Linked DNA regions of Elephas maximus indicus. The protein of the gene in region 1 binds, or shares a complex with, the protein of each later gene. Links are inferred from orthologs where the notes say so. Each region holds a gene or a part of one and is shown on either strand. Other genes may lie near its edges.

Evidence for each region.
Region 2: WASHC5 (region 1) and WASHC3 share a complex: the UniProt entries of both Homo sapiens proteins name them as parts of the WASH core complex. The link is inferred for Elephas maximus indicus from reciprocal best matches to the Homo sapiens genes WASHC5 and WASHC3.

What each region holds. Positions count from the first base shown.
Region 1 is NC_064833.1:18,037,794-18,054,741, reverse strand, and holds the start of WASHC5 (WASH complex subunit 5), read right to left. Parts: upstream 7,493-16,948; 5' UTR 7,344-7,492; intron 588-7,343; 5' UTR 467-587; coding exon 281-466; intron 1-280. UniProt on the Homo sapiens protein: Acts as a component of the WASH core complex that functions as a nucleation-promoting factor (NPF) at the surface of endosomes, where it recruits and activates the Arp2/3 complex to induce actin polymerization, playing a key role in the fission of tubules that serve as transport intermediates during endosome sorting.
Region 2 is NC_064822.1:168,408,208-168,424,635, forward strand, and holds the start of WASHC3 (WASH complex subunit 3), read right to left. Parts: upstream 7,957-16,428; 5' UTR 7,858-7,956; coding exon 7,807-7,857; intron 7,237-7,806; coding exon 7,138-7,236; intron 1-7,137. UniProt on the Homo sapiens protein: Acts as a component of the WASH core complex that functions as a nucleation-promoting factor (NPF) at the surface of endosomes, where it recruits and activates the Arp2/3 complex to induce actin polymerization, playing a key role in the fission of tubules that serve as transport intermediates during endosome sorting.

The DNA.
Region 1 (16,948 bases):
AACATGCATTTAAGCTTGGGGCACTTCACTGTGAAATGTATTATTTCAAAGTTACTTTTTTTTTTTTTTAATTTTATATTGTGTTAGGGCTTCTATACAATCAACAAAACCAAAATAGCTATATCCAATTTTCAAGTTAGTAACTGATACTAGGTTTCGTTCAAAAGCTTTCCTCTTCAACTCTTTCTCCATAGTTATTCAATCTCTCAGAGTCTCATGGTTTCCAGACAGCAGTTTTAGTAGAAAGGGCAGTTGTAAAAATGCAGTCGAGGAAGATTACCTTAAAATAGCTGAAATCAAATATGATATCACCATATTTCTGTTGGTCGGCTCGGTCCTTCAACCTGAACACAGCAGGAATAAACTCAGAGAGCCTCAAAAGTTCAGCAATGATGGCGTTGCCACAGGAAACAATCCTCAGGATTGCTTGGCCACAGAGGTTGTTCTCAGCTAGAAAATCCAACATAGTGAGGGTGGCCAGCTACTCTCCTCACCAGTGGGGATGTCTAGTTGGCTTCAGGGCTGGAGCCTGAAGATCATGAAATGAAACCAGGGCTGCTCATAGACTAGCTGCTCCATCAAAGAACCTGTATCCAAAATTAAAAAAAAAAAAAAAGAAAGTCATCATTTTTAAAGGAAGCATGTGTGTATACATACGTAACACATACATGAAATTTTTCTTCCAAACTTACTAGAAAAATTGCAATAAATAAAGAGTTTTGCTATGGAACTCATGTTTTGCATGCGGCACTCTGGGCTTTTTCAATCCTTTACACACTTCTCCCTTTAAGAAAAGACGTGACGTTGCTGATGACCTGGCTTGGGAGAAGGATCCACTGGGCACGTGTGGTTCTAAGTACCCTCAATTGCACAACCTCTTCCGTACTGTTTGTTATATTAGCAAGTAATTGCAAGCAATCTAAATGAAGCTGGGAGAAGCATCCCTGTACAACATTTTAAGGCATTTGTTCAATTCTTTCCTGGAGATGGAATTGCAGGGTTATGGCATAAACACGTTCAAGACTCCTTTTAAAAATACAGATGCTGGGTTCTCCAAAATGTCGTGAAGATGGTTTATAAATACTAAATCAAAGCGGTCCACAAGTCTCCTCTCCTACAATTTAGCACTCAGGCGTTTAGCACTGCCATTGGGATCGGTTACTTGTATTCCGCAGCACTGAATGAGAATGCTTACAGCACTTAGCATACTGATACTGTCACTATGGCTAACAGGTTGTTCTCCTGCAATTTCTTGAAGGCAAGGGTTGCTCTCCTTTATTCAAGCACTCCTTGCTGAGTACCTCTCTGCCAGGCTGGATGTAACAATGTTTAAGCAACTACATTGCAATGCAGCGGTTCTCAAACCTGGCTGAATCACAGTGTCATCTGGGGTCATGGGGTTTGTGGTGAAGTAGGTTAGAGGCAGTCTCCTATTTTTAACAAGTTCCCTGGATGATTCTGATGTAAAGCCAGGATTGACAAAGACTGATCTTGTGGAAGACTGCAGCAAATAAATATAAAATGACGATATTCGCCTCTGTATCCTCTGTGCTTAACTCACTCCCTGGCATTGATGCACACGACAATTACATAAAAAATAACATGAGGGATATGAGAGGTGACGCCTGCCCCCTCCAGCTGCTTATAATACTGTTGAGAGAAAAGCCCTGAAGAAAAAGTCAGAGAAAGACGTGAAGTGCTTGAGTGTGTGGTCAAGATAAAGAAATACTGGGTGCAGCTGCCATTACCCTGTCAGCATGGAGCCTTTACTTGATCTTATCTTGGCTACAGTATTCTTTTTATGATAGATGATCTTTAAGAAAGTGGCATCGTCTAGGAAATCAGGGCTAGAGAAGGAAACCCAGAAGTTAGAAAAGACATAGTTTAGTAGATGACACTTAAAAACTTTTCTAGGGCTCCCAGCTGGAACAAAGGAGAAGACCAAGGATACAAGGGAAAGATTGGTCCAAAGGACTAATGGACCACAACTACCACAACCTCCACCAGACTGAGCCCAGCACAACTAGACGGTGCCTGATTATCACCGCCAACCGCTCTGACAGGGATCACAATACAGAGTCCCAAACAGAGCAGGAGAAAAATGTAGAAATACAGAACAAAATTAAAATTCAGACACACACACACAAAAACCCCAGGCTTGCTGGCCTGACTGGAGAAATTCCGAAAGTATGGCCCCCAGACATCCTTTTAGCTCAATACCGAAATCACTCCCAAGGTCCACCCTTCAGCCAAAGATTAGACAGGTCTATAGGGCCAACAGAAACCCTGCTGGCGTAGCGGTTAAATTTTACGGCTGTTAACCAAAGGTTCGGCACCAGGCGGTCCTTGGAAACTCTATGGGGCAGTTCTACTCTGTCCTATAGGGTCGCTATGAGTTGGAATCGACTTGATGGCCGAGGGTTTGGTTTTGGTTTTTTGGTTTATAGGGCCAACAATAACACATGTGAGGGATGTGCTTCATAGTTCAATCATGTATACGAGACTAAATGGGCACACCAGGCTGAAAGCAAAGACGAGAAGACAGGAAGGGACAGGACAACTGGACAAATGGAAACAGAGAACCCAAGATGGAGAAGGGGAGAGTGTTGACACATCGTGGGGTTGGCAACCAATGTCACAAAACAATCTGTGTATTAACTGTTTAATGAGGAACTAATTTGCTCTGTAAACTTTCACCTAACTCACACACTAAAAAAAATTCCTCTGAAAAAATATTATTAAATAAAGTTCATAATTTCTTAAAAATTTTTTTTTCCTATGGCAAAGAATTACAACGATGAATTTGCAATGCAGAGGGCAGACAGAGGGTTGATTTTTAAAACACGCAAAGCGATCTCACAAGCTGACAAGAAGAGAGCAAATAACCCAACAGAGAAACAGGCAGAAGATATAAAAGGTGAGTTCAGGGAAGAGTAATCCCAATGACAGACAACCATCCGAAAGATCCTTAGTTCACTGGCAGTGAAGGAGCTACAAATCAAAGCCAGTGCCAAAAACCACTTTACTTCCATTAGGTTGGCAATGATTAAAACGTATAATAATATCTGTTTCAGGTAGGAACTGGGGAAATACACTACTGGTGGAAATGTGAATTATTAGTCTTGAGAAAGTGAACCAATACTTACTGAAATTAAAAATATACACACTTTTTGACTTAGTAATCTCATGCCTGGGAATCTACGCCAAGAAATAAAAGCAGCAACATATAAAGATACAGGTCCAAGGATGCTTCCTGCAGAATTGTTAGTCATCTTACAAAATTTGAAGACAAAGTAAATACCCATTAGTAAGGAAACTGGAATTTAAGTAGCCATTAATAAGTAGGAATTAGAACTACACCGGTTAAGTTGGAGGATTTCTGAGAGCTATTACTAAGGGGAAAAATAAAGATGCAGAAACATAAATAGGATGCTTCCATTTTATAAAACAAAAAAAAAGTGATGTAATTAAAAATTATGAAAGTATACCATATAGTCCCCTGAAATAAATCAACTCAACTTGGTTTGGCCAAAGAATTAGTACATAGTTGATAAGAGGAAAAAAAAAAAAAAGAAAGAAAGAAAATCTTTTTTCTCTTATCGTAATTTTACTCTAAATTTTGTGTAATATAAAACTGGTACTTTGGGGGAGTACATGATTTCACCAAAACTGTCAATTTGATAATACAATATCCTGTACTTCAGAGTGGACTTTCATAGCCTGACCTTAAAATGGTAATTTTTGCACAAAAGTTTCAAGGCATCATTTTCTTCTCAAAGGCTCTCCCAACCATTTTTGTCACCATCTTTGTTGTATTTCTTGTCTCTATTGTTAATTTAGCTAGGTCATCATTTGTCAAGTTCATGGAAGCCTGTGTCTTTTGCAACATTTGCACTTTCACTCTGCACTGGTATTGTACTCTATACATATGATATTAACCATTAGGAAATAGCTAGCAAAGATAAGCATTTGGCCTCACAGACATCATTGGCCAGGAATATTTGAATAAAAGTAGTCAGCTCATTATCATTTTTATGTCAATACCATCTTTTATTTCCACAGGCAGTCTTACAACACATGGACTCAGATACTGAATGCTGAAATAGTGACTACACTGTACATAAAACCAGAATGTGGAAAGATGACAAAAATTACAAAAAATTGTGGCTTCTGGCTTGGGTATCTTCTGTAGCTTGCTTGCCACAGGGGAAGCAAATTGCCATGTTGTGAGACAGCCTTTGGAGAGGCTCATGTGACAGGGACTGAGGCCTGCCAACGATCACAGGAGTGAGCTTGGAAATGGGTTCCCACAATCCCAGTTAAGCCTTCAGGTGAGACCCTTCAGATGTGAGCCCATGCTCAGCTTGACTGCACCCTTCAGAAGAATCCCTGAGGCCAAGGTATTGGGCTAAGTCATACCCTGGCTTTCTAAACACAGAAAATGTGAGATAATAAGTAATTGTTGTCTTAAATTACTAAATTTTGGAGCAGTAATAATTATCTGGGTGAATGGCATTCCAGGTAGGGATTAAAAGTGCAAAGGCCTCAGGACAGGAATGTGCTTGATGTGTTTAAGGAACAGTAAGATGGCTGATGTGGCTGGAGCCTAGTGAGCAAAGGACAGAAGGAGAGATCAGGAAAGGTGGATGGGGTTGAGTTTGAGAGCAAGGAGATATGAGAAGCCACTAGGCTGTCTAGAGCTCTCATGACGGCATCCTATAATACACATAAGGCATGGATTTTTAACAAATCCTTTTAGTTTTCTCTGTGATGTTTGCTTGTTAAACCACACTGATCTCTAACAGGCTGAATTTCAGTAAATTCTGAAGGAGAACTTAATTTTCTGCAATGATATGGACTGGCATGGAAAATGAGAGAGGAAAAGGGAAAAATAAAAGACAACGGGCAAAACAGTCCCCTGTGGAGGGTCCTCTGAAGAACACCAAACTAAACCAGGTCTCAGCAGGATGAAAACTCTAGACACATTCAGAGAGGGGCAAGCGATAGTTAACAGGTCTAACTGCTACCTGGTTGTGGATAACGAGATAGGGCCAACAGTGGGGCCCTGGAGCAGTTTAAAACAAATCAAGTTAACTACTTTCTTCCTCACTCCTTCCCAACAAGCAGACAAACAGACACACTCAGCACCTTCAAGTACATATTCAGAGAAGCTGACGCCTCAAGTTCAAAACAAAACTAACTGGGATAATGACATAGACTTTTGCATGTCAATCTCTTGTTTTAATCCTTATGCCCTAACCCAAGAATTACAACGTAGCCAATTTCCAGAACAACATTAGTAGGAGAATAGGAAAATAAATGTTTGGCAACAGTGAGAGAAATGTTATGGACCTTTAATATATAGGTTAATCACCTTGTCTAAAATTCTAAAAAACAAATGTTTATCTTGACTTTTTTAATATAAAAGCAAGATATGGTTATATTTAATGCCCTTTCAGGGAAGTGCCTGTAATCTGCCCCAACTCATGAAGAACAGTTGAGTTTTCCTTCCCTAACACTGCTAGCATCTCTAGCTAAATTTTTGAACAAGCTAAAACAAGATTAACTGAAAGAAGGAAATCACTTAGTTACATTACCACGTACTAGACCATGTCATCTGCACTAGTTCGATTTTTCATGTTAACAAATGAAATTACCACAATTTGCACAAATTATTCTTTAGCTAGAGTATCTGGTAAACAGCCCCCACTGTTGACAGAAAAACTGGCCCTGAAGAACAGAACCTAGGAACCATCATTCAAGATGCCCAAACACCTTGCCTCCATCTCAGAGTTAGGAAACTTTACAGAAGGGGCAGTGGTTCAGCGGTAGCATTCTCGCCTTCCGTGCAGGAAATCGAGGTTTGATTCTCTGCTGATGCACCTCACGCTCAGCCATCATCCGTCAGTGGACGTTTGGGTGTTGCTGTGATGCTGAACAGGTTTCAGTAGAGCTGCTAGACTACGATGGACTAGGAAGAAAGGCCCGGCCATTCTGAAAAGTAACCAACGAAAACCCTACGGATCACAATGGCCTTACCCCCAGGCAATCATGAGGACGGCACAAAAGTGGGCATTCTGTTCCACTGCACACGCGCTTGCCTTGAGTCGGGGGTCCAATCGATGGCAGCTAACAACCACAGAGTATGGTGAAAATAAAAACTGTAGAAAAAGCTGTCTATAACCAGCCTTTGAGGGGTTCTCTTGATGCTAGAGATGAAGGAAATTCATAAAGACCGTTTTACTCAATATAGGCTGCATTACTACTAGTGTAAAAAAGAACCAGAGTCCACTCAATTTTCTAGTTTTTTTTTACAAGTCATCCAGAAAAGAGGTTGTAACTTTATTTTTAAGAATGTGGCACAAAGCTGGGCTTTTCAGTTTGGAAAGTACTCCTAGACAAAAGACAGCACGCTTTCATGAAGAAAGGTTGGCATCATCACACCATGAGTACAGAACCGAAATTCTGAAGAAAATTAAATTATTCTGAGACAAACTACTGTTTACCCTACTCAGAGGACAAAGGATGATGTCTATTTTTATCATTTCACAAAACCTCAGTTCCATAAAGAAGGAAGCACTGGTTTCCACAAATCCATTATCAAAAACAAAATATAGTGGTTGCTGACCAAGATGAAAGTGACAGGCATATCTGTTTCAGAAATGTTCTGAAATGACTCTGATCATTCTACTCGGATTTATGAATCCAGGTGAAGGAAAACTGGGGGTCCCTCACTGTGGGCAGAGGCAATAAAACTCGCCCCTCCCTCCCATCACCTATGTTTGAGAAAGAACAGTGCACTTCGAATTAGAAGACCCGATTCTATTACTGGCTCTGTCACATTTTTTTTTTTTTTAATGGTGAGACCATAGGCCTAGAATTCTTTTTTCGAAATGCAAAGGACAGGACTTTGGCGCTATTATGTCACCTGTGAGGAAATTAAGGTGCAGAGAGGGGCAGTGATTTGCCCAAATCCAGTCCATCACAGAACTAGAATTCAAATCCTGGTCCGTTAGACTGTAAAAGTTCTCATTTTTCTTGAGAGTAAAAAGAATTATGACGTTCGCACGGCACTGCTCCGTAGAACTTGGAAGAATCAGATAGGAGCCCAGCATGGAAACATCGCTTCCTAAAGCGCCAAAGGAATGTGCAACATTTTTTCCATCAAAGTGGAAATGAAGAGCCTGGACTGCAGCCCCCAGCCACCTGCTGCCGCCAAGTCCTCGGCCCTAGGGCCCTCCCTCCAGACCCCCCCACCCCGACGCCAGGGTGGCCCAGCGCCGGGACGGAGGACGGGAAGAGGAAACGTGCAGAGGAGGGCGCGCGCACCTCGCCCGACTCACCTGTCACTAGGGCCGCGCCAGTGGCGCTCATTCAGGGCCGGCAGTCGCACACGGACTCGCGACCTCCGCTCCCCCTACGCAAGGGTCCCCTTAGATCCCCAGACTGGTACAGCCACCGGGACTGACCCCGGCTTCCGCTCCCGGAGCCTCTGGCCGTCACGTGACCAAAGGGGCGGTGGGCAGAGCGGGGCGTCACGTGACCACGCTCCGGCGACGGCTGATGACGCAAGGGCCCGCTCGCCGTTCTCAGGGGCAGTGCAAGGGGGTTAGGAAAGGTGTGGGGTACCGTCATGGGAAGTCAGGGTGCAGCCGGACGGAGATAGGTCGGGCAGCCAGGTAAGGCAAAAGCGGGGTCGGCGGTGGAGAGGGTGGCGGGAGTTGTGTCCTCGCTCCTGGGCGCTCTGCGCGTGCCCTGAGCGGGAACTGTCGACTTGGGTTTGGTCCTGGCTCTTTTCACGCAGTGAGACTGGGGCAGTTTACCTCCCTTTCCTAGGCACCGTCTCTCCAAACTTCAGTCTTGAGTGTGTGGGGAAAAGATCACGAATTTTTGATCCAAATAAATCAGGTTTTAACTTTTTACAAGCACGGCCTTGGACAAGTCAAGTAAATAAACTCTTTGGGCTTCAGCTTCCTTTTCTCTTACGTAAATTGTTGTGAGGATTAGCGATAGTGACAGGGAAGCGCCCACAACTACTTTATGGCACACTGTTGGAGAAGGAAGCTCTATTGTATTTACTCCTATTTTTATTATAGGGTCGCTGTGAGTCCGAATCGACTTGACACGGTGGGTTTAGTTTTTTGGTCTTTACTCTTTCCATTGTTCTTTCTTCTTGGTGTTCCAGGACCTCTTCTTTTATCATTTCCTTTCTGTTTCGGAAACTTTTTCTTTAGTCATTCTTGTAGGGTAGGTTTGCTGGTGACAGATTCTCTTAGCTTTCCTCCACTTAATAACAGGGCCTTGAACCGGTTCGTTCTGGTGTGAAGCCTGCTGAAAATTTGCATTTCCACCTGTGATAGTCAGAATCAGAATCCACAGTTTAGCAACATCCCCAGGTGATTTTTATAGATCCCCAGGTGATTGTTCACTGGTTCCAAGCCTTGCTTGAGAATGTCTTGATTTCCCCTTTATTCCTGAGGGACATTTTTGCTGGACGTAGACCTCTGGGTTGACAGTTCTTTTCTTTCAGCACTTGGAAGTTGTTGTGCCATTTTCTTCTGGCCTTCATGGTTTCTGGTGAGAAACCTATCTTTCAAATTATTTTCCTCTATAAGAAAGGCAGAAACTCTGGTGGCGTAGTGGTTAAGTGCTATGGCTGCTAACCAAAGGGTCAGCAGTTTGAATACACCAGGTGCTCCTCGGAAACTCTATGGGGGCAGCTCTACTCTGTCCTGTAGGGTTGCTATGAGTTGGAATCGACTTGACGGCACTGGATTTAGCTTCTTCTTTTTTTTTTAATAGGAAAAGTTTTGTTTCTCTCTCACTGCTTTCAAGATTCTTTGTTTTTAGTGTTCTGAGGTTTGGATATGATGTGCCATGATGGTATTTCTTTGACCTTACACTATTTGTAGGTCCCTGGGTGGTGCTATGAGTTGGAATCAACTCCAGGGCGACCAGTTCCCCCGACCCCCGCCCCAGGTGGCACAAGTGGTTAAGCTTTCAACCACTAGCCTAAAGGTTGGTGGTTTGAAACCATTAAAATCACTAAACAGCACCACAGAAAAAAAGGCCTGGTGATCTGCTTCCATAAAGATTACAGCCAAGAAAACCCTATGGAGCAGCTCTACTCTGTAACACATGGGATCTTCATAAGTTGGAATTGACTGGACAGTAATGGGTTTAGTTTTTGAGTTTTTGTCTTGTTTGTGGTTCACTCAGATTCTTGAAACTGTAGGTTTATGTCTTTTGTCACATTTGGGAAGTTTTCAGCCATTATTTCTTTGAGCACTTTTTCCTCTCCTCTGGGACTCCAATGAGATGAATGTTAGATACTTTCGTATAGTCCCATGTGTCCCTGAGGCTCTGTTCTTTTTTTTTTTCCCCTCAGTCTATTTTTCTCTGTTGTCGAGATTGGCTAATTTCTATTCTTGTCTTCAGTTGCATTGATTCTTTTGTCTGTTGTCACCATTCTGCAGTTGGGTCCATCCGTTGAGATATTTATTCCGATTATTGAACTTTTTTTAGTTGTAAAATTTTCATCTGGATTGTCTTTATATCTTACATTTATTTGCTGTGACTTTCAGATTTTTTATTTGTTATAAGCTTGTTTATAATTGCTTTTTTCGGCATTGTTACGAAGGCCACTCTAAAATCTCTGTCCGATAACTCTAACATCTGTGTCATCTTGGTGTTGGTGTCTGTGGGTTGTTTCTCATTCAGGGTGAGGTTTAGCACTTCTTGGTATCACTAGTGATTTTGGATTGAATCCTGAACGTTTTGGGTATTATATTATGAAATGCTGTATATTATTTAGATTTTCTGTTTTAATAGGCCTTCTGTGACACTGAGCTGCTGAGGGAAGGAACAGTGGCTTGTTACTGCTGGATGGTATTGAAAGTCCAGTTCCCCACTCAGTCTTGTTATGACTGTGAAGGGGTGGGAGTGCAAGCTCCCTGCTAGGACTCCCCGGTACCACCGTGGCTGGGAGGGGTACGGTGCCTTGTTACTGCTCTCCACATAGCCTTCACCGTGGGAGTTGGGGGACGGCCGTGTTACCCCTAGGTGGTAGATGAAAGTCTTGGCTGCCCTCTAGGCTTCCTCTGACACCAGCAGGGCAGAGGTTGGGGTGGACATACAGGCTCCTCAGACAGTGTCCACTGACACAGCAGGAAGGGGGAAGAAAGGCTATGCAGGCATGAAAGTTCCAGCATCCCACTAAGCCTTCTCTGAGGCTGTGCCCGGAGGAGTGCCTCATTACAGCCCAGCAAGGGCGAAAGCCTAAGCCTTTGCTGATGGGGTTGAGGCTGCAGAGTTTTTGTTGTTGTTTGCGTGTTTTTGTGGTGTTTACCTAGAGTAGAGCAATTGTCTAAAAGTTTGGCTTGCTGCTGTTGTTGTTAGGTGCTGTCGAGTTGATTTTTGACTCATAGCGACCCCATGTGCCGGAGTAGAACTGCCCCGTATGGTTTTCTTGGCGGTTTTTTTTTAATCTTTTCAGAAGCAGATCGCCAGTTCTTTCTCCTGTGGAATGGCTGGGCAGGTTCAAACAGCCAGCCTTCAGGTTAGCAGCTGAACACTTAACTGTTGTGCCTCCAGGGCTCCTGTTTTGGCTTTCTAGGCCGCCCCTTTCTTGCTTCTTTGGTTAGAAAGAGCAAGCTATTCTTGGGATTTTTTTTTTTTTTTTGTCTGTGTTGTTGTCCTGCCTGGGTTGTTGGGTGCTCAACCACCCAGTCTGGGATAATGAGGCAAAAAGAAAACCCAAGGAACTCACCACTGTGTTCTTCAGCTCTCCTGCTCCTAGCCAGTCTGCCTTCTTCTTTCCACCTTTCAGAGTCTTATGTTGGTTTTACACAATGTCCAGGGTGTATAGGCAAAACCAGTCATCTAACTCAGACAGCCTGGCTCCAGAGGCTGCATGTTTAATTGCTATTCTATATTGCCTCTACAGTGTAGCTAATAAATATTTTAATACAGACATGTTTCCTATTATCTCTAAGCGAAAGTGATATTCCAGGAAGATACATCCTGCTTATACTGTGGGTTTGGCCCTGTTATTTAACTGTGGTTCATATAGTACAATTTTATAACCATGCCGCTCAATCTGTGATGTCCGGTATGGTAGCCACTTGCCACAGGTGGCTATTTAAATTTAAATTAATTGAAATTAAATAAGATTAAAAACTCAGTTCCTTGGTCACACTAGCCACATTTCAAGTGCTCAGTATCCACATGTGGCCAGTGGCCATCACATTAGAGAGTGCAGGTTATAGAACATTTCCATCATCACAGAAAGTTCTATTGGGCAGTGCTGCTGTAGATAGTTTAGGCTTACCCTAGAATCAAGATTGACTGGAAAACTGAATACTTAGATCATTCTGGTCCTTGAAGGATTGTGTTTTTTTGTGTGACAGTTGGTGCTATACCAGGGAAGCCCCCAAATCTACATGGCTTTGCACAATTGAAGTTTGTTTCTTTCACACGTAGAACCTGTCTGGTGAGCAGATTTCCTCCATGCAGTGATTTAGGGTCCCAGGCTCCTTTCATCTAGTAATTCTCTATCAACATAAAGCTTCTTAGGCCACGGTGCTTGCCTGTGTCAAGCTCTCAAATGGAAAAGAGTATGGGGAAAATGTGGTTTTCACGGGCAGGGCCTGGAAATGGCTTACATTTTTCATTGGCTTGAATTCAATCAAATGGCTACACCTAACTGCAAGGAAGGCTGCAAAATGGGGTCTAGCTGTGTGAATGGTTAAAGAGGAAATGGGCTTAGTGGGTACCTAACTGATCTCTGTCATGACTATCCTGTCTTAGCTTACACTGTGGAATAGGAAACAATCCTGGGAAACTTGCTATTACTGCATTGATTGTAAGCATATTATTGAGGATATTTTTCAGTATGACCCTGTTACAGTTTTGGAGAGATATACTGTTCTAGGTGCTGAGGACACACATACAGCATTTCCATTGCCATAGAAAGCTGTATTTTTTCTAAGCTGGTGTACTTCTTCTTTATGGGGAAAGAAAATTCTAAAACTTTCATTTTTGTTTTGTAAGGAAGCTCACAGTCATACGTGTGTTGCAAGTATAATACTGTATATAATCCTAAAGCCTGCATGACTGTGTTCTAATTTTCTCATGTACTTGGTTTTCCATTTTATCTGTTTTTATTTTTTAATTGGGCTTTAAGTGAAAGTTTACAGAGCAAATTGGTTTCTCACTGAACAATTAATACACATATTGTTTTGTGACATTGGTTGAGAACCCTACGTCATGTCAACATGCTCCTCTTTTTGACCTCAGGTTCCCCATTTGTATTCATCCAACTTTCCTGTCCCCTCTTGCCTTCCCATCCTTGCCCCTGGGATGGTGTGCCCATTTAGTCTCATATATGTGGTCGAACTATGTGTGTTATTGTTTGTTTTATAGGCCTGTCTAATCTTTGGGGGAAGGGTGAGCCTCAGTAGGGACTTCGGTGCTGAGTTAAAAGGGTGTCCAGGGCTCATACTTTTGGCATTTCTCTAGTCTCTGTCTGACCATTAAGTCTGGCCATTTTTGTGAGATTGAATTTTGTTTTACATTTTTCTCCATCTCAGTCCAGGACCCTCTGTTGTGACCCCTGTCAGAGCAGTTAGTGGTGGTAGCTGGGCATCATATGGTTGTGCTGGACGTAGTCTGGGGGAGGTTGTGGTAGTTGTGGTCCATTAGTCCTTAGACTAATCTTTCCCTTGTGTCTTTGGTTTTCTTCATTCTCCCTTGTTCCAGATAGAGTGGGACCAGTAGAAGTATCTTAGATGGCCGTGTACAAGCTTTTAAGACCTCAGTGGCTACTCATGAAAGTAGATGCAAAACATTTTCTTTATAAACTGTGCTATGCCAGTTGAGCTAGATGTTCCACGAGACCATGGTCCCCAGCTCTCAGCCCAGTAACTTGGTCTCAGGTAGTTTGGACGTGTCTGTGATGTTTCTATTACTTTGCATTGGTCAAGTTGTGCTGACCAATGTACTGCATTACCCTTCACCAAAGTTACCACTTATCTGTTGTCTGTTGTTGTTAGGTGCCATCGAGTTGGTTCCTGCTCATAGTGACCCTGTGTACAACTGAACAAAACACTGCCTGGTCCTGTGTCATCCTCGTGATAGTTGTTTTGCTTGAGCCGGTTGTTGCAGCCACTGTGTCAGTCCATCTTGTTGAGGGTCTTCCTTTTTTTCAATGACCCTCCTCTAGTCCCTTCCCCAGGGACTAGTCCCTCCTGATAAAGTGTCCGAAGTATGTGAGACGAAGCCTCGTCATTCTCGCTGCTGAGGAGCGTTCTGACTGTGCTTCTTAAGAGGCAGACTTGTTTGTTCTTTTGGCAGTCCATGGTATGTTCAGTACCCTTCACCAACACCACAACTCAAAGGCCTTTGTTCTTCTTCAGTCTTCCTTATTCATCGTCGTCCAGCTTTCACATGCATATGAGGCTATTGAAAACACTGTGGCTTAGGTCAGGCGCACCTTAGTCCTTAAAGTGACATCTTTGCTTTTTAACACTTTAAAGAGGTCTTTTGCAGCAGATTTGCCCAATGCCCAATGCTACAATGCGTTGTTTGATTTCTTGACTGCTGCTTCCATGGGTGTTGATCGTGGATCCCAGTGAAATATAAGCTTTGATCACTTCAATCATTTCTCTGTTTATTGTCTAGTTAGTGTTTTTCTTTCCCCATCCCTCCCCTCCCCTCCCCTCCCTCATAACCATCAAAGACTGTTTCTTTCTGTGTTAAACTTTCTATGAGTTTTTATAGTGGTGGTCTCAGCAGTATTTGTCCTTTTGTGATTGACTTGTTTCACTCAGCATAATGCCCTCCAGATTCATCAATGTTGTGAGATGCTTCGCAGATTCATCAATGCCTTTTATCGTTGCATAGTATTCCATTGTGTGTATGTATCACAGTATGTTTATCCATGTATCTATTGATGGGCACTTAGGACTTTTCTATCTTTTTGCTGTTGTGAATAATGCTGCAGTGATCATGGGTGTGCATATGTCTATTCATGTGATGGCTCTTACCTCTCTAGGATATATTCCTAGGAGTAGGATTCCTGGATTTTTTGGTATTTCTATTTCTAGCTTTTCAAGGAAGCACCATATCATTTTCCAAAATGGTTGTACCATTTTGCATTCCCACTAGCAGTTCACAAGAGTTTCAGTCTCCCTGCAGCCTCTCCAGCATTTGTTATCTTCTGTTTCTTTGATTTGTGCCACCAATGTCGGGGGTGAGATGGTATCTCGTCGTTTTGATTTGCATTTCTGTAATGGCTAGTGATCACGAGCATTTCTCGTGTCTGTTAGCTGTTTGAATGTCCTCTTTGGTGAAGTGTCTGTTCATATCCTTTGTGCATATTTTAATTGGATTATTTGTCTTTTTGTTGTAGAGGTGTAAGATTTTCCTATAGATTTTAGAGATTAGACCTTTTTCAGATTTGTCATAGCCAAAAATTTTTTCCCAGTCTTAGGTTCTCTTTTTAGTCTTTTGATGAAGTCTTTTGATAGGTATAAGTGCTTAATTTTTAGAAAATCCCATTTATCTAGCTTATCTTCTGGTGTTTGTGTGTTCATTATGATTTGTATCTTATTTATGATGTGTATTAGGGCTCCTAGGGCTAAACCTATTGTTTCTTCCATGATCTTTATAGTTTTTGGTTTTATATTTTAGCTCCTAGGGCTAAACCTATTGTTTCTTCCATGATCTTTATAGTTTTTGGTTTTATATTTAGATCTTTGATCCATTTTAAATTAGTGTGTGTGTATGGTGTGAGATATGGGTTCTGTTTCATTTTTTTTTTACAGATGGACATCCAGTTTTGTTAGCACCTTTTGTTAAAAAGACCATCTTTTCCTCATTTAATGTACTTTGGGCCTTTGTCCAAGGTCAGGTGATCATCGGTGGATGGATTTACATCTGGGTTCTCAATTCTGTTCCATTGGTCAGTGTGTTTGTCGTTGTACCAGTACCAGGCTGTTTTGACTACCGTAGCTGTACGGTAGGTTCTGAGGTCAGATGGTGTGAGGCTTCATACTTTCTTCTTCTTCTTCAATAATGCTTTTCTTATCTGCGGCCTCTTTCTTTTCCATATAAAGTTAATGATTAGTTTTTCCATCTCGTTAAAGGATGCTGTTATAATTTGGATCGAGATTGCATTGTATTTGTAGATTGCTTTGAGTAGAATTGATCTTTTCATAATGTTAAGTCTACCTCTCCATGATCATAGTATGTTTTTCATTTATGTAGATCTCTTTTGGTTTCTTGCAGTAGTGTTTTGTAGTTTTCTTTATATAGGCCTTTCACATCCTTGGTTAGATTTATTTCTAAGTATTTAATTTTTTTTAGGGGGTTTATTTTCCTGATTTCCTTTTTGTAGTTCTCTTTATTGGTGTGTAGGAATCCAACTGATTTTTCTGTGTTTAACGTATATGCTGCTACTCTGCTGAGTCTGTTAGTTCCAGTGGATTTCTTGTGGGGTCTCTCTATGTATAGTATATAATCTGCGATTAGGAATAATTTTACTTCTTCCTCAACAATTTGGATGCCCTTTATTTCCTTTTCTTGCCTTATTGCTCTAGCTAGGACTTCTAGCACAATGTTAAATAAGAGTGGTGATGACATCCTTGCCTTGTTTCTGTTCTCAGGGGGAATGTTTTTTGCCTCTCTGCATTGAGAATGATGCTGGCTATTGGTTTTGTGTAGATGCCCTTTATTATGTTGAGGAATTTTCCTTCTGTTCCTATTTTATTGAGAATTTTTATCAGGAATGGGTTATTGGACTTTATCAAATGCCTTTTCTGTGTTGATTAAGATGATCATATGATTCTTTTCTTTTGTTTTATGTATGTGTGGTGTATTACATTGATTGATTTTCTAATGTTGAATAATGCTTGCGTACCTGGTATGAATCCCACTTGGTAGGAGTGCGTGGTTTTTTTTTTTTTTAATGATGCTGAATTCTGTTGGCTAAAATTTTGTTAAGAATTTTTGCATCTGTATTCATGAGAGATATTGATCTGTAATTTTCTTTTTTTGTGATGTCTGTGCCTGGTTTTGTGTCAGGATTCTGCTGGCTGCGTTGAATGAATTTGAAAGTATCCCTTCCTTTTCTATGCTCTGAAATAATTGAGTAGTGCTGATGTGAGTTCTTCTTTGAATATTTGGTAGAATTCTCTTGTGAAGCCATCTGGGCCTGGCTTTTTCTTTTTTTTTTAATTAACTTTTCAGTCTCTTGTTATAGTTTTGTTCTGATTTTTTACTTCAGTTTGCGTTATTTTAGGTAGGTAGTGTGTTTCTAAAAATTTGCCCTTTTCCTCTAGGTTTTCAAATTTGTTGGAGTGCAGTTTTTTCATAGTGCTGTGTTATGATCCTTTTTATTTCAGTTGGGACTGTTGTAATGTCCCCATTTCATTTCTTACTTGGTTTATTTGCTTCCTCTCCTGTTTTTCTTTTTTTGGTTTGGCCAATGGTTTGTCGACATTGTTGATCCTTTCACAGAACCAGCTTTTGATTTTGTTGATTCTGTAGTTTTTCAGTTCTCTATTTCATTTATTTCTGCTCTGATCTTTATAATTTTCTTTCTTGTGGTGGCTATGGGCTTCTTTTGCTGTTCTCTTTCTATTTGGTATAGTTGTAGAGCTAACATTTGTTCCTTCTTTTTGATGTGTGTGTCTCTTGCTACGAGTTGACCCTGAGCACTGCCTTTGCTGTGTCCCAAAAGTTTTCATATGATGTGTTTTCATTCTCCTTTGATTCTGGAAATTTTTGGATTCCATCTTTGATTTTTTCTATTACCCAGTGGTTTTTAATCAAGATGTTACTAAGTTTCAAAGTTTTCGATTTTTTTTTTCCTTGCACTTCCTGTTACTTATTTCTACTTTTATGGTATTGTGATCAGAGAAGATGCTTTGTATTATCTCAGTGTTTT
Region 2 (16,428 bases), on another chromosome or scaffold:
AAAAGCCCTATTCCTAAACACTATTATACTCAGTCCCACAGTCCAAGAAGCAGTTAGCCAGTTTATGAGTTGGCAGATGAGCATGCAGCATTCTGACTGCTTTCTGGGATATTAACAAGATCCTGACTAACGCATAAACAGAACTTTAACACCCTGAGGACAGTCATTTTGCCAACATTAAGAGGGGGAAAAACTGAAAAAAACCCAAAGTAGTCAGTGCTCCTTCACAGGACACTTATTTTTAAGATGAGCATGTTGGTATCTACGAAGAACATAATTTAGAAATAAAACATCAGAATCTAGTTTTAATGGCATTCAAAGTGAACAATCAGGCTAAGTTTAACTTTGACATCCAGGATTTGTTCACACAAGGTTTATGGAAACATAAAAACAGGTTTATAAAATGTAGACAGAGGAATTCCTCTCTAAATTATAGGAGTATTACTGAAAACCATGGGAATAAAATTTAGGCAAATTTAATCAATCTTTTAATTCATTAAAGTAGCTTAGAAATTGAAGAAATCCTACAGCAAATTTGTAAAGTGAATGGTAATTTATAATTTGTTTTAAAAATGCACACATTAGTTTGATTAAAGTTAAGTGAATACAGAAAAAGGCAAAATTGAATTTTTAAAAAATCAATTTTTGTCTTTACATGCCTATGTCAGTATATACTTTTAAGCAATAATCATCACTGAAACATTTGAGCATTTACCTTACACGCTATCCTGTACACGCAACGTAATAATTGAATTCTCACACCAAATCTATGAAGTAGGAATATATGCTAATCTTAAAGATAAGAAAACTGTATCATCACATAAATTAAATAATCTGAACTCAAATACTCCAACTCCACAGCCAATACTCTTCAGATGCTACTTTTGAAACAATGTTACATTTTTGAAACATGATGGAAAATTCCTGGGTATTGCCTAGGCACAAATTTTGTTATTCAAGGCCAACAAATAATCAATTTGCTTCTCATTAAGACTAAGATGCTACTGTGCTAAATACTGAGAATCAAATTTTTCTGACCGTGGTAAATCTCCTAACACAGGTGTTGTTTTTCTGAAATTATTTTTAAAAAATGGCTTAAAAAACATTTCAGGGTAATAGCATAAAACTAACTTGTCCCTAATTCCAATGGGTACTCAATGATTCAGACAGGGTAAGACTGAAATACAGATCTTAGTAAATAAGAACTAAGGATGAGAATGTTTATTTGGAAAACTATGAAAATTTAAAGAGGCTTGGAGAAATAAGTTATACTTTCTAGAGCAGTGATTCTCATATTTTGAGGGGTGCAGATTAGTCTGGTATAACTATTTTTTGCTTTGCCACTCACCTTACCTATTTTCATCCACCATAATAAAAACCTCACCAAAATGAAATGACTTTATTTTTTTTAAAAATCAAGATTATATGAATGATTTAACTATGTGAGACATGAAAGATGCTGATTTATTGTAAACATCAATATATTTTAATTTATAAAACATTATCTAAATATCCTTGATACTGGTTTGAGAATAATTTTTTTTTTAATTTAAAGTAATTATAAGGATTGGTATTTTAAGCAGTAGCTTTTTGCTTCATACTGCTACTATCACCCTATTTTATAACGAGATTGACAAATGTAAAGAAGATTTCAGGAACAAACTGAGTTTTATAATATGTCCAAAATAGTCTAATTGTTAATTTACAAATTCTTGTAGGGATGCTGGGTATGTTATGCAATGATTTTCAAATGTTTCAATATGTAACATTAAAAAAAAAAAATTTTTTTTTTTTTAGGATGTATTTTATATTTTCAGATAACACATTTAATATTTTAGAACCTCAAAAACCAGCTCTAGAGAACATGGATAATGCCTTCATGGATAATAAAATAACAACACAATTTATTACAACATAGATCTTCCCAAGCCAAGAGGAAAGCCTGTTGTTGATATGATTTTGAGAAAATCACCTACCCAGTCTTTCTAAACCTGGGGTCCATGAACCTGGCTGGGTGAAAAAAAACTACATCTCTATTTTTATTTATCTCTGACTTAAATTTAGCATTTTCTTCAACTTTAAACTTAATCAACAGGATTACAGTAGTATTAGGACATATAGCTTTGTCACCCATAGAAATCACAGATTTTTTTTATCACATTACAATTGCTGCAGATTTTTCAATTATTTACATTTGTCATAATTCACAGTTAGTCATGATTAGACACGCCACTCACATATTTAATGCTTTAATAAAGGATGTGTTACCATAATTTTGAGTTTTTAAAAGTATTTTGATGATATTTCATCGGTTCTTTTGTAATCCTACGTATTTTATTTTATGCACTTAAAAACAGTAATTTGGCTTTACTGGACTGCTAAAAGGTCCACAGCACAATTCAGAACCTCTGCTCTTCAAAGATAATCCAGCATAAACAAATGGTTTTGAGCCCATTTCCATGTAATCACCTCTATCACATACATGAATATATATATTTCTTCCCAGCCAAAACCAAACTCACTGCCATCGAGTCGATTCCAACTCATAGCGACCCTATAGGACAGTCGAACTGCCCTGTAGAGTTTCCAAGGAGTGCCTGGCGGATTCGAACTGCCAACTTTTTGGTTAGCAGCCACAGCACTTAACCTCTACTCCACCAGGGTTTCCATACATATTTCTTAAAAAAAGCCATTATCAAATGACAATGAGCCTGGTTTCATTTATGGGCTACTGACGTTCATTTCTAAGATGTTTACGCCTTCTTCATTTTCCTTCTGCAACTCCCAGATCCCTCTAATGTAGAGTTTCTTAACCTGGGCTCCACTGACATTTTGGACTGGTTATTATTTGTTGTGTGAAGCTGTCCTATGTACTATAGGATGTTTAGCAGTATGTCTGGCATCCACCCACTAAGTGCCTGTAGCACCCCTCAGTTGTGACAACCAAAAATGTCTATTAAAAAAAAAAAAAAAACAGTTTGACTTGATTTGTAAACGTTCACTTGAAGCTCAATAAAAGTTAATTAAAAAAAAAATTTTTTTTTTATAGACAATGCCAAATGTCCCCTGGTTGAAACCACTGTTCTAAAGTATGAATGACTATGGATATGGTATAAGTAACATGATCAATGATAGTAACTGTCCCCACCTCTGAAAGTTTTAGCAAACAGGGAATGGAAAGGTAATGGTCTTTTCCATTACCATCCTTTCATTTCTGGAATAATTTGAAATAAATCTGAAATGCCTTGGCTTGGGATAACGGGCAAAACTACAATGTACCTGAAATTTTTCAGATAAACTGAGAACTTCTTGATTTATCACCTACCTATTTCTAAGGCAAAACATTTTATTAAAGTGAAAAAGAAGACAAAAGGAAGAAATATGGAACCACTAGTTGAACATGGAAAGAAAAATAAAGAGTGGTTTTTCAGGGTCATAAAATATCCAGTTTGCATATCTACGTCTCTAAAAGAGAAACAATATTTTTAAATAATGGATCTCTTGCTATACACCACTGGGTTGTATATGTCCTAGAAGCCAGAACGGAAAGCAATCAACAGTTTTGTTAAGCTTCATCTGACACTTAAGCTCAGCAGTTGTAAAATATGTGGCAGCAAACAAGGGTTTTAAGAAAAACATTATCTGGTTGAAGGTTAAGTCTGATGGCTGGCTTAAATACTGGACGTAGACGATAAACCAAAACCCACTGCCACTGAGTCAATTCCGACTCATAGCGACCCCATAGGGTTTCCAAGGCTGTAAATCTTTATGGAAGCACACTGCCACATCTTTCTCCAGTGGAGTCACTGGTAGTTTCGAACCGCTGATGTTTCAGTTAGCAGTCAAGCACCTTAACCACTGCGCCACCAGGGCTCCCTGCCATAAATATTTTCAGTTCATGTGAGAATTCACAGCACTTTTCCCTGTACTTGAAGATTTTTGAAAAAAAAATTTTAGAATATTAAAAAACGATTAAAAGTCCAGTATGCTATGCATGTTACAAGTCTGAGTCATAATAGCACATCTGACTGTGATCTATTTAGAGAGTATCTTTGACTTTACAATTCACCAAACTCAGTTTTACCTGCAATAGCCATAGAGCTTGTGCTACCCTCCATTTTGTAAATTTGCAGTCCCAGTGGAAAACCGTAAGATTTTACTGACTAGGGTCAGGACACAAGTGCTTACTAGGATATTTGTGAAGGAAGAAAAGATGACCCTAAGTAATTCTGTAACTTGTATCTGATTCAACTACTTTCCCTTCTCTGCCTTCTAACCTTTCTACTACTCTAGTGCCTGTCATTAGAAGAGTGACAAAGTAGCACAGTATAGTATGCATAAAGTATAGAAAGTTTAGATCTTCAGGGTTTCTCCTTATTATAGAACTCTAAACACAGCACTATTAATGAAGAAACTGCTCTAGCAATTTGTTTCAAATTCAATTCCAGCATGAGTTTAACTGCTATAGTTTTGGTTTGGTTCAAACCAAATCCTGTGAGGAAAAAAGTTTTTTTTTTTTTTTTTGTAAACCCTCTGACCCCTCTGCTCTCCACCAATTCAAAAAATAAAAGTTGACATTCATTTTTTGAGGAGGGAAACATAGTCATTTTGGTTCCTGTTTAAGGTTTTAAGTAAACAAGGACTACAGGTCGTAACGTTATTATCAACAAATTAAAAATCATTTTGAAATACCATATTGATTCTAGCTCAGGAGAAAATGGCACTTTATGCTTGAATACATATATCTTTGGAATTTATCGTATCAAAAAGATGTTACATCAAAAAGACAAGACACAGCAAAGAAAAGTAATCTCAAAAACAGATTATGAAATAACTATAAAGAAAGCACTGCACTTTCTCCCTGAAAAATGATGCAACCAAACTTCTTTTTCAGAACAGAAGGTATAATGTAACCGGGTAGTAAGATGTTTTTGGCTTTTCAAGTTAATAGACCAGAGATGGAATCCCAGCTCTGTTACTTTCTAGCTGTGTGGCTGTGGGCAAGTTATACAGCAGCCAGTGATGAATGAATGAATGAACAAACAAATGAATAAATGTCTAAGCAAATGATTTAAGCCTTTCTACAGCTCAGTTTCTGTGTAACTGGGATACCTGAACCTCTCTCAAATGGCTGGGCTGTGATGATGATCACGTAAAGCACTTAGTACAATGCCTAATACAGAATAATCACATGATAAATATTAGTTATTGTCTTTACGGAAACCCTGGTGGCATAGTAAAGAGCTACAGCTGCTAACCAAAAGGTTGGCAGTTTGAATCTATCAGGTGCTCCTTGGAAACTCTATGGGACAGTTCTACTCTGTCCTATAGGGTCACTATGAGTTGGAATTGACTCGACAGCAACAGGTTTGGTTTTTTCCTTACTGTCATCACATTGAGCAAACATATCTATAACTGACACAATTATCCAAACCTCTAAAGTGAATTGTAAAATACGACTTACAATCAACCACAGGTTATCATCCTTAGGAGAAAGAGGCAAACTACTTTAAACTTATTGAGTTTTTGGTCAATAAGCTTTTTCTCAGAGTTCACGAAGAACTAGGAAGTAGTGACATAGCCAAAACAGTTGGGGGAGAAGCTGAGAGAGGAACAGATGGGGGAAACTTGTGAAGCATGAGGCTTAAAAGCAATCAGTAAGTAAGTGATGATTATTGTTATCTTTGCTTTAGCTGTCAAACAGACAACACTCTCCAGGCTTTGAAAATTGTTAGGTACTACAATGAGGAGGGGTTATCCCTGCCTTAGAGCAGCTCAATCAAGTTGCTTTCACAAGAGTGTTTACTTCTTGTTTTGTTGTTGTTTATTCTATTTTTTAATCTGGTGATGAAGCATATAGGGATGGAGTATCTGCTCCTCTCTATTAACAATCCTGAGATACTCCCCACCTAGATACTTCACCCTACTCTGGTATAAAAAGTGAAGGGCTAAATCCTTGGCTTACTGCTTTTTATTCAGTCAATTCTATCTCCAATTAGAAAGGCACAGTACAAAATAAAATACATGGAAGCAAGCACCTAGGCTCTGGACCTGCTGTTAGATAAAACACACTGTTTTGATCCCCTGACTCTATCAACTGGCATATCATACCATATTTTATTTTCTTTTGTCTTAATGAGACGGTAAAAAGATTTTGATAAGTAGGCAAAAACAACAGCAGGAATCTTATCCGCTGAAAACAGTTTTCCTATCTCCATAAAAATTGTAGTAACAATAATACATGTAACACTCTACTAGCTAAGGCTATTTACCTCATATGAAACAGAATGAACTTCAAATTGTTTAATCAATCAACTCACCTAACTATCTAAGCCCCAGTGAATTATCTAATCCCCCTGATTTACCTCTCTCTCTTCTTTCTTAAACTTAATTTCAAGCCATGTTTCCAATTTGCCTTACCCATCTTTTTTTTAAGAACAAGAATCCCTGGATTTGGTACCTACTCCTTAATCTGGTACTTAATCCTCACTTACGAGTTATCTGCAGAAAATATTCTTATTTCCATAATGACATCTGATGCCAAAGTTAGCTTTCTAGGCTACCTCTCCAGGGCATCTTTTGGATCAAACCAAACCAAACCTGTTGCTGTCCAGTGGATTTAGATTGATGGGGACCCCACAGGGCAGAGTAAAACTGCCCCATAGGGTTTCCAAGGAGCAGCTGGTGGATTTGAACTGTTAACCTTATGGTTAACAGCCAAGCTTTTAACACTGCACCACCAGGGCTCCAGTTTGGATCAAGGAATGTAAAACAATTTGAAAATAAACTGAAACAATATATACTTAAAAATGTAAATATCTGGGTAAGAGCACATGTAACAAATTTCAAAATCACAAGTGTTTTCAACTATGAAATCTTGGAATTCCTTTTATTCTCTTTAATCACAATAAGCTTTTTTTTTTTTAACCACAATAAGTCTTACTGAACTATCTTCCAAAGACCTTTAAAACACTATTCAGCAGAGGTGGAGTGCAGGACTGACTTTAGCTTAACAAAACAACTGGGTGACAAGAGGCCAATCTGAACAGAGTGATTCTTCTTTAACTCCATTTGCCATCCTCAAAAAAAGCAAAGTGATTTCTAGGCTACTCTATAAACCAACATCACAGGACCTACCTCCTCACAAATTGTAGAAAAGTGGTTGAGGAACTGTACTGTGTGCACCACAAATTGGTTTAGAAATGCCACCGTTCTTTTCTGTTGAATAGCTGGCACCTGTGTTATGTAAAAACAAACATGATTCGTACCGGAGGAACGTACACAGTGCAATTCCTTTGACATATGGGCATAGGAACAGGGCGTCTTGCTGTGTGATATGAGTTTCTTGAAGTATTGACAATCGTCATTAACTTGTTTTCATAAACTGTGAGGTGGGGGGTCCGAAGACGATAGAAGCTACATAAAATTTTGAGAATTGACTCCGGATTCACAAATTTTACAGGTAAAGGCAACACAGGTAAACACACAAAAACACGTGGGGGCCGAATCAAAGAGGTAGGGTTAAGAGGTCGCAACGGGCCCAAGTCGCCAGTCGCTCGTCTCCGGGCACAGAGACACGTTACCCGGGAAGCGAAGGCTGGGAGAGGCACAACATCCCCTTAATCAGCTCTGGAGGGACCCCTTTTCAAGGTGAAAGGTGAAGACTCCCTCCCGAGGCCAGCAGAAGAGGGGCCCGGGGCCAGGTACAAGGTGGGGCCTGGCGAAGTGGGGTCTTTCTGGGAACGGGGAGTCCCTTCCTCGTCCTCCTCCCCGGTCTCCGGAAGTTCAACTCCGTCTTTTACAAACCTTGGTCAAGTCTATGCCCGACCCCATGAGAGGAAGCCCGTCCTCATCCATCTCCTCAGCTGGCGGGGAACCCAGGGCTCTCTTCCAGACCCCTCCCAGACAGGGCCCGCCCAACCCGGTAATAGCGCCCAGACACCTCCACAAATCCCCGCCTCCTCAGCCCTTCCGCCGGAAGAAAATGCCTCCGCTCGCCAATCACTCGGCGACTCCCCGCGAGCCCGCCCCTGAGCTCAGCATTCTGGGATTGGTAGTTCTAGGTCCAGATTGTGACGTCAGACTGGGGGCCGCAGGGTTGAACCAGGCTGAGGTTTTGGTGGTAAAATCTTGAAAAGGGGGCCAAAAAAAAAAAAAAATCAGGAATTGCATTCTTACAGTGATCTGGAAAGAGCTTTGCACTCTTGCACACTTAGAAATGAGAGGTGGAAGTGAAGATGGATAGGATGAAGAATACTTTTAAATGCTTATCGTTTCATTGGTTTTTTTGGGGTTCATGTCCATAACTAGTTGAGTATCATCGAATATTTTTAATTGTTGTCTTTCAGCAAATCTGTTGAGTCCCTCTCATGTTCTAGTACTCTACTGGGACTTGTTAGGTGCTGTCAAGTTGATTCAGACTCATAGCGACCCCATGTACAACATAATGAAACACTGACCAAACACTGTGTGGTCCTGTGCCATCCTCACAATCATTGCTATAGTTTTGAGCCCATCGTTGCAGCGACTGTGTCAATCCATCTTGTTGACCGTCTTCCTCTCTCTCTTGCAGACTCTCTACCAAGCATGATGTCTTTCTTCAGGGACTGGTCCCTCCTGATAACATTTCTAAAGTACATGAGACAAGTCTTGCCATCCTCACTTCTAAGAAGCAGCCTAGCTGTACTTCTTCCAAGACAGATTTATTCATTCTTCTCGCAGTCCGTGGTATATTCAGTATTCTTCACCATCATTCAAATGGGTAAATTCTTCTTCGTTCTTTTTCATTGTCCAGCTTTCACATGCTTATGAAGTGATTGAAAATACCATGGCTTGGGTCAGATACACCTTAGTCACCAGAGTAACATCTGTGATTTTTAAGATTTTAAAGTGGTCTTTTGCAACACATTTGCCCAATGCAATATGTCCTTCGATTTCTTGACTGCTGCTTCTATGGGCATTTTTTGTTGGTCCAAGTAAAATGAAATCTTTGACAATTTCAGTCTTTTCTCTATTTGTCATGATGTTGCTTATTGGTCCAGTTGTGAAGATTTTTGTTTTCTTTATCTTGAGGTGTACTGCATACTGAAGGCTGTAGTCTTTGATCTTCATCAGTAAGTGCTTCACATCCTCTTCACTTTGAGCAAGCAAGGTATCATTAGCATAATGCAGGCTGTTAATTAGTCTTCCTCCAGTCCAGATGCTGCATTCTTCATATAGTCCAGCTTCTCATATTATTTGCTCAGCATACAGACTGAGCAAGTATGGTGAAAGGATACCATCTTGACGCACACCTTCCCTGATTTTAAACCACACAGTATCCCTTTTTTCTGTTCAAATGACTGCCTCTTGGTCTATGTACAAGTTCCTTAGGAGGACAATTAAGGGTTCTGGAGTACTGAGACTACAACTATAAATAAGATAAATAGTGTGACAGTTGTAGGCAACTGTATTGTTTTGTCTTTTCACCTTGATAAGGTCTACATGAGCCTAAATTTTTCCATTAGACTGTAAATTCTTTGAAGGATTTTCTTCATTTCTTATGACTCCTCAGTTAGTACCAGCTGCTCTGCTTTGCAATGAAAACTCATTAATAATTTTAATACACAGTTTTGAGGTTCTACTATGATCCAACTATGGTATCAAGCACTGAAGATTCATCCACCCATCCATTCTTTGAACAGATGTTCCCTACAATGTGCCACCAAAACCAAACCAAACCCACTGCTGTCAAGTTAATTCCGACTCATAGTGACCCCGTAGGGTTTCCAAAACTATAAATCTCTATGGAAGCAGACTGCCACATCTTTCTCCCACAGAGCCACTGATGGTATCGAACCGCTAACCTTTCAGTTAGCAGTGAATCACTTTAACCACTGAGCCACCAGGGCACTATGATATGAGTTGGGAATACAACAGTTAACAGAACACACAATTCCTGCCTTCACGTAGATAAACAGAAAATAAACAAGTTAACAAACAGATACTAAGTTGTCCAGGAAGAGAGACAGAAAAATGAAAAAAAAAAAATTTAGTGTGATAAAAACTAGGCTAAAATACGCCCCAAAGAGGAGCACCTAACCCAGGCTGGTGAAATTAGGGGTGACTTCCTGAAGGAGTTGATGCATGAGCTGAGTTTTGAAGATGCAAACATAAGCAAGATGAAGAAGATTGGGAGGAACATTCCACAGAGAGTATCAACATGTGTGAAGGCACTGATGTTTGAGCCCCAGAGACCTACATTTCCCCTGTAAAAGCGCCCCTCCGTTGGTTTCCACCCCATCTTTAATAGGAGCAAGGATTCCCACTGAACTCGTTCCAGAGCTCTGCTTGCTCCTGGCGAGTCCTCACCCTTTCCTCCTCCACTATCACTCTGCACTTTGAGGTCATCATAATTATTCCTGGACTCCTAAGTTATCTCTCAGACTTCCAACCTCATATTGATTTCTACAAGCCTTTTCTTGCCTCTCACCAGCTCAACAAATCCTTTCACAATGCCCTCTGGAACTCAGTCATTAGCAAAATCCCCATTTTCTCAACGTCTTCTTTGACCATTCCTCTCTTTCTGCTCTAACTTGCCTGCTTATTAAGGATACTGCTTCCTGTGCAGCCTGTAGTTGTTTTCTTGCCCACATCCCTGAATCATTAGTTTAGGAGGTGTTTTCGTTCATCCTCACTGCTTCCATACCATTGCTTTTCCTTCCCCTAAAAATGCCCCACAGCTCTGAGTTCATGCTATCCTATATAGAAAGATACCTTGTAGCATCCCTCTACAGACCTTTAGGTCACTGCTACTCTTTCCTTGGAGTCCTTACTTTTTGTCTCACTGCCACTGTTTATAACACTATTATCATAACTTGTGGGATTTCAATATCTGCGAACATAATCTTTCTGGTACCTTGGTGTCATGGATTGAATTGTGTTCCCCCCAAATATCTGTCAATTTGGCTAGTAGGCCATGATTCCCAGTATTGTATGACTGTCTATCATTTTGTCATCTGATGTGATTTCTCTATGCGTTGTAAATCCTATCACTATGATGTTAATGAGATGAATTAGTGGCAGTTATACTGATGAGATCTACAAGATTAGATAGTGTCTTAAGCCAATCTCTTTTAAGATATAAAAGAGAGGAGCAAGCAGAGAGACATGGGGATCTCATACTACCGAGAAAGCAGTGCCGGGAGCAGAGCGCGTCCTTGGACCTAAGGTTCCTGCGCAAAGAAGCTCCTAGACCAAGAAAAGGTTGATTAAAAAAAAAGACCTTCCTCCAGAGCTAACAGAGAGAAAAAGCCTTCCCCTGGAGCTGACACCCTGAATTTGTAGTTGTAGCCTACTGGACTGTAAGAGAATAAATTTCTCTTTGTTGAAGCCATCCACTTGTCGTATTTCTGTTACAGCAGCACTAGATAACTAAGACACTTGGTCTCACAGTTCCTTGAACTCCTGTCCTTTAGTGCTCTTGTCCTCCATTTTCTTATTTCAGCCACACTCACTCTTCCATGGGCATTCTCCAGAACTTTTCATTGCCAAATATCTTCACTCTCTCCATAATCTTAATTTGAAGGATCCACTGTCTGGTCGGTACTTTCGATCTTTTGAGCTCATTCTCTCTGTTATCTTGACTTTAACAGTTCTTCGAGCCATCACGAGAAAGCTTTTTCACTGTACCATAACCTCATTATATCCTCACTTCCTTTTTTACCCAGTTTAGATCTTATGATTCATTATAATCACCCAACAAACTTTTCCCTCCCTCCCTTCATCATACTTACCTGGCAAAAACGTAGTAAATGGAATGTTCTGTCTCTTCTGTACCAATTGTATACAATTAATACCGGTTGGCCTCAACCAGACCCTGTTTCACTTTAAATTCATGCTCTCTTGAGGTTATACCGTCACAAGCTCCCACTGCCACATCTCTTTTCAACCCACATCTGAGCCCTGAAACCTTGCCTTTCCTACAATTACTATGGATAATCTCTCCTACTATATAAAGCCAATTCCTCTATTTGTGTACTAGATACTATTCCTTCTCACCTACTTGAGAACAAAACAAAAACATCACTCCAATGATTGCCCCCACTCTCTCCTCTATCGTCAATGTTTCCCTTTTCGTTGGATCATTCCCAGCTGAATACGAACATGCTATTATTTCACTGGTCTTAACATAAATGTCTTGACTCCACTTCCTTCCCTTTCCAGCTACCCTTTTCAGAAAGATTCCTCAAGATTGTCCACCATCACTCCCTTCGATTTCTCTCCTCCCAGTCTCTCCTAATCCTACTCCAGTTAGCCCACTATGCCATAAAAACTGGTGATCTCAAGGCCACCAATAACCTTCATAATGCTAAATCCTTTGATCATTTCTTTCTTCTTATTTAGCTTGGATAAGCAACATGTGACAAAGTTAATCACCTTCTCCTGCCTGAAAATTTCATTTTCCTTCCAGGATATTACTCTTTTCTGGTTTTCCTTTTATCACTCTGGCTACTTCTTCTCATTTTCCTTTGGCTGGTTTCTCCTCATTTTCCCAACCTGTAATGTTTTTTACATTTATATATCCAGCCCAAATCTCACACTGGAAGCCAGTGTGGCTGAAGCAAAGTGTACAAGAAGGGGAGTTGAAGGAGATGAGGTCTGAAAGGTATGTGGGGACCTGATTATATACGGCTTTGTAGGCCATTGTAAGGGTTGGCTTTCATTCTGGGTGAGGTGGGAAGTCATGGAAGATCTCAAGATCAGGAATGATGGGAGCTACTTAAGAGCCTTAAGCAGGGAAGTGGCATTATCAAAATTGTATTTTAGGACTTTCTGTTTGGCACAAAGTAACTGGAATTATTGATGAGGATGGGTAGGTGAGCCTGGAAAAGTTAAATAGCTACTAAAGTCACCCTTTACATTTTCTCCCTTTCACAGCCTGTATTTTTTGGCTCCTAAACAACTTGAGTTCCTCTGTAACTCTCCATCCAAGCTCTGTCAGCATTCTCTTATGCCTGGATTACTGCAAGAGCCTCCTTCTGCCTCCATTTTGTGTTTCTGCAATCTATTCTAAATATTGTAGCCATAGTGACTTTTTACAGAGACAAATCTGATCATGTTATCCAGGATATAATTTAAAAAACAAACAAATAAAAAAAAAACAACCCATTGCCATCAAGTTGATTTCAACTCATAGTGACCTTATAGGGCAGAGTAGAAGGCCCATAGGTTTTCCAAGGAACAGATGGTGGATATGAACTGCCTACCTTTTAGATGGCAGCCTAGCTCTTAACAAGTAGGCCACCAGGGCTCCAGGGTATAACTATGCTTCCCATTTCCCCAGCTTAATGTGCTTACAAGGCCCTCTTTATGGCCTTGCTCACTGCTCTAACCTCACCTCTCACTAATCTTTCTAACCCTCCATTTTAATTCCAAAGACTTTCTTTCAATTTCCGGAACCACTTGCTGTGAGCCTATAAAAATGTTACCTCTTCTGACTGGAACAATCTCTCTTTCTCTCTGACTACCCTGTCTGAATAACTCCTACTCATCCCTCACAACTCTTGTGTTTGGTTTTCAACAGTTTGAATATAATGTGCTTGGGCATGATTTCCTTTGTATTTATCCTGCTTGAGGTTTGCTGAGCTTCTTGGATATTAAAAGAGGTTGGTTTTTAAATTAAATTGGAAAGATTTTTGGTTATTAATTCTTCAAAAAAAATTATTTTCTGTCACATCTTCTCTTTCTGGGATTCCAGAGACACACGAGTTTTATGATTCCTTGCTATTGTCCCACAGGTCGTTGATGCCCTGCTCGTTATTTTTTTCCTAAAGATTTTTCTCTCCCTGTGTTTCAGTGTGGTTAATTCCTAACAAATACCTTCAAGTTCACTGATACTTTTTTTCCTAGTGTCTGATTTATTATAAAGCTTGTACAATGAACTTTTGATTTCAAATATTATGTTTTTCACTTCTAAAACATCCATTTTTTTTGGAGTTTCTTTTTTCCCCCTAAAATTCCCTTTGCCCATTAAGTTTATCTTCTCTTCCATAAAAAACAAACTTAGAATAGTTATTTTAATGTCCTTATCTAATAATCACAATATCTGGTTCATTTATATTTCTATTGAGTGCTTGCTTTTTGGCCTCTCTCATAATTTTTTATGCTCGGCACTGTGAAATAGAGAATAATGGAAAGTTAAGTGAGGGGCTGAGCATTCATCTTCCTTCACAAATTGAGGTGAACTGATACTGTGCTGCGGCTCTAACTAGATTGAGTTTCCGTCCAATTAGCCTAACTCCTGACCTCCTGCAGGACTGAACTCTTTGATCTTCTCAATGTTTGAATGATCATTTTGATTTATCTTTGGATTCAACTTTGACAGGACCCAGTCCAATCACCATGAGAATGCACGAATTCTTTTTACTTACCAAAGCCCTTTCTCCACTCTTGCTTTCTTAGTAATCTTGGAGATGGAGTATAGGCCTACGTGATTTATTTTTGCAGTTGGGGTCCTTCCAGACCCAAGTCTGTTCCACCACTTCCTGCTATTGGCAAAGTCTCAGCCAATTTCTTCTTGTCTCAGCAAAATCTCCCAGAGTGTGGCAGGCTTGCTCTTCTACCCACTTGCACTCTGACTGGGCCTTTCTCCCCAGGTATAGTAATGCCACAGCTCTCTACTCACCTATGTCCTTCTAGAATTCAGTTCATCAAGGCCTTCTTACATCTACTGCTTTTCAATAGCCTTATGAAAAAGTATGATTTTTACTTTGTCTTTACTACTTGTTACTACCACAGAGGTGAAAGGCTTTTTCTCATCTTTCTACATTCTAACCAGTAGCAGAAGTCTCATCATCCTTCCTTGGAGTTTTCCCTGGCTCCAACAAGACTAGATTAACTGTCTGTCCTAATATATGCTTCCAGAGCATCCTCTGCTTAACCTTATCTTAGTATGAATTATACTTGCCTGTTTGTTTAGATTATTGATTGAGGGCAGAGACTCCACCTTGTTCACTATTAAGGCTCAAGCCCAATGTCTGACCTATAGTAAACCCTCCATAAGTATCTGTTGAATTACTTTTGGGCCTAATGATCCCTTGATCATCTATGAACCCCTGATTGTGACTGGACCCACAACTCTGGGTAAACTCACTCATTTAGCCTTCCTGAGCAAAAACTTCAACTGGCCAACCTAGTCTTTTTCCATGTGCCTCCTAGCTAGGGAAAAAACCAAAAAGCAAGACAGTTATCTCATGATTAAGTACAAGTAGCAAAATAAAATGAAACTGTAGTAACATGAATTTGTTCTCAGTTGGTCCACTGACAAAGAAATTTTCAAAAGCGGTTTGGTTTCTTAAAAAAAAAAAAAAAAAGACAAATATAATGCTAGAAGACGTGAAAGAAGAGTAGAAGTGTGGCAGTTTCTCTCTGCCTCCTAGGATCCTTGATGATTACCGTTCATCTCATCCATAGCTCCTGACAGCATCATTCACATTTTAATAACTGAATTTCCAGTACTATTAACAACAACCTATAGCTGGAAGACTTGGCCCACTGCCAGAATCTTCTGACCTATGTACTCTCTCTTCCAGGCTTTCTCTCACTGGAAATGTATTACAAGATTTCATTTACTATAGTGAAATTCTGAGGGAAAACAAGTAGATTCTAATGAATTCTGATTTCAAAGGGCAGCCTAATATATGCCACCTGCATATCTTAATTCAATTAAAAAAAAAACCTTCAGAATTTTTCAGTATCTTTGTTTTCGTAGCAGGTTACTATAATATTGCTATTAATTTTACCATGAATAAATTCTTATGTAGGGGAGAATGATGAGAACTGGGTTCCCATTTTTCTTTTGTTTCTTCCCACTCTGCTTCAGGGTGGAAGCTTTAGATAAGAGGCATGGGGTAGTTCATAATAGTGGGAAAACATAAATAAATTTCCTCTATCCCTACCCTGCCTCCATCCCCCCAGGAGTGATACAAATCATCTGGTGGGATTTGGCAAGTGGAGGAATTCTAGTCTAGTTAAATCAGTTGTGTTAAGAATTCACTTTTCAGGCTGTTTCTTTTAATTGCTCTGGCTATGTTAACTTCACTCAGAAAGCTGGCTTATGGGCTCTATTCTCTAGTCAGGAGATTGGATTCCTTTCTAGAAAACTGACTACACCTCAAGAGACCTGAAGATATTTAGCTAGGGGTGGTTGTTGTTAGGTGCCATAGAGTCGGTTCCGACTCACAGCAACCCAATAGGACAGAGTAGAACTGCCCCACAGGGTTTCCAAGGAGCGACTGGTGGATTTGAACTGCCCACCTTTTAGTTTGCAACCTGAGCTCTTATCCCCTGCACTACCAGACCTCCTACAGTTAAGAGGTCCCCAGTAAAACAGCAGATGTCCTAATGATTATCCTGCTTTCTTTGAAACGGTTGGCAAAAGGTCTCACC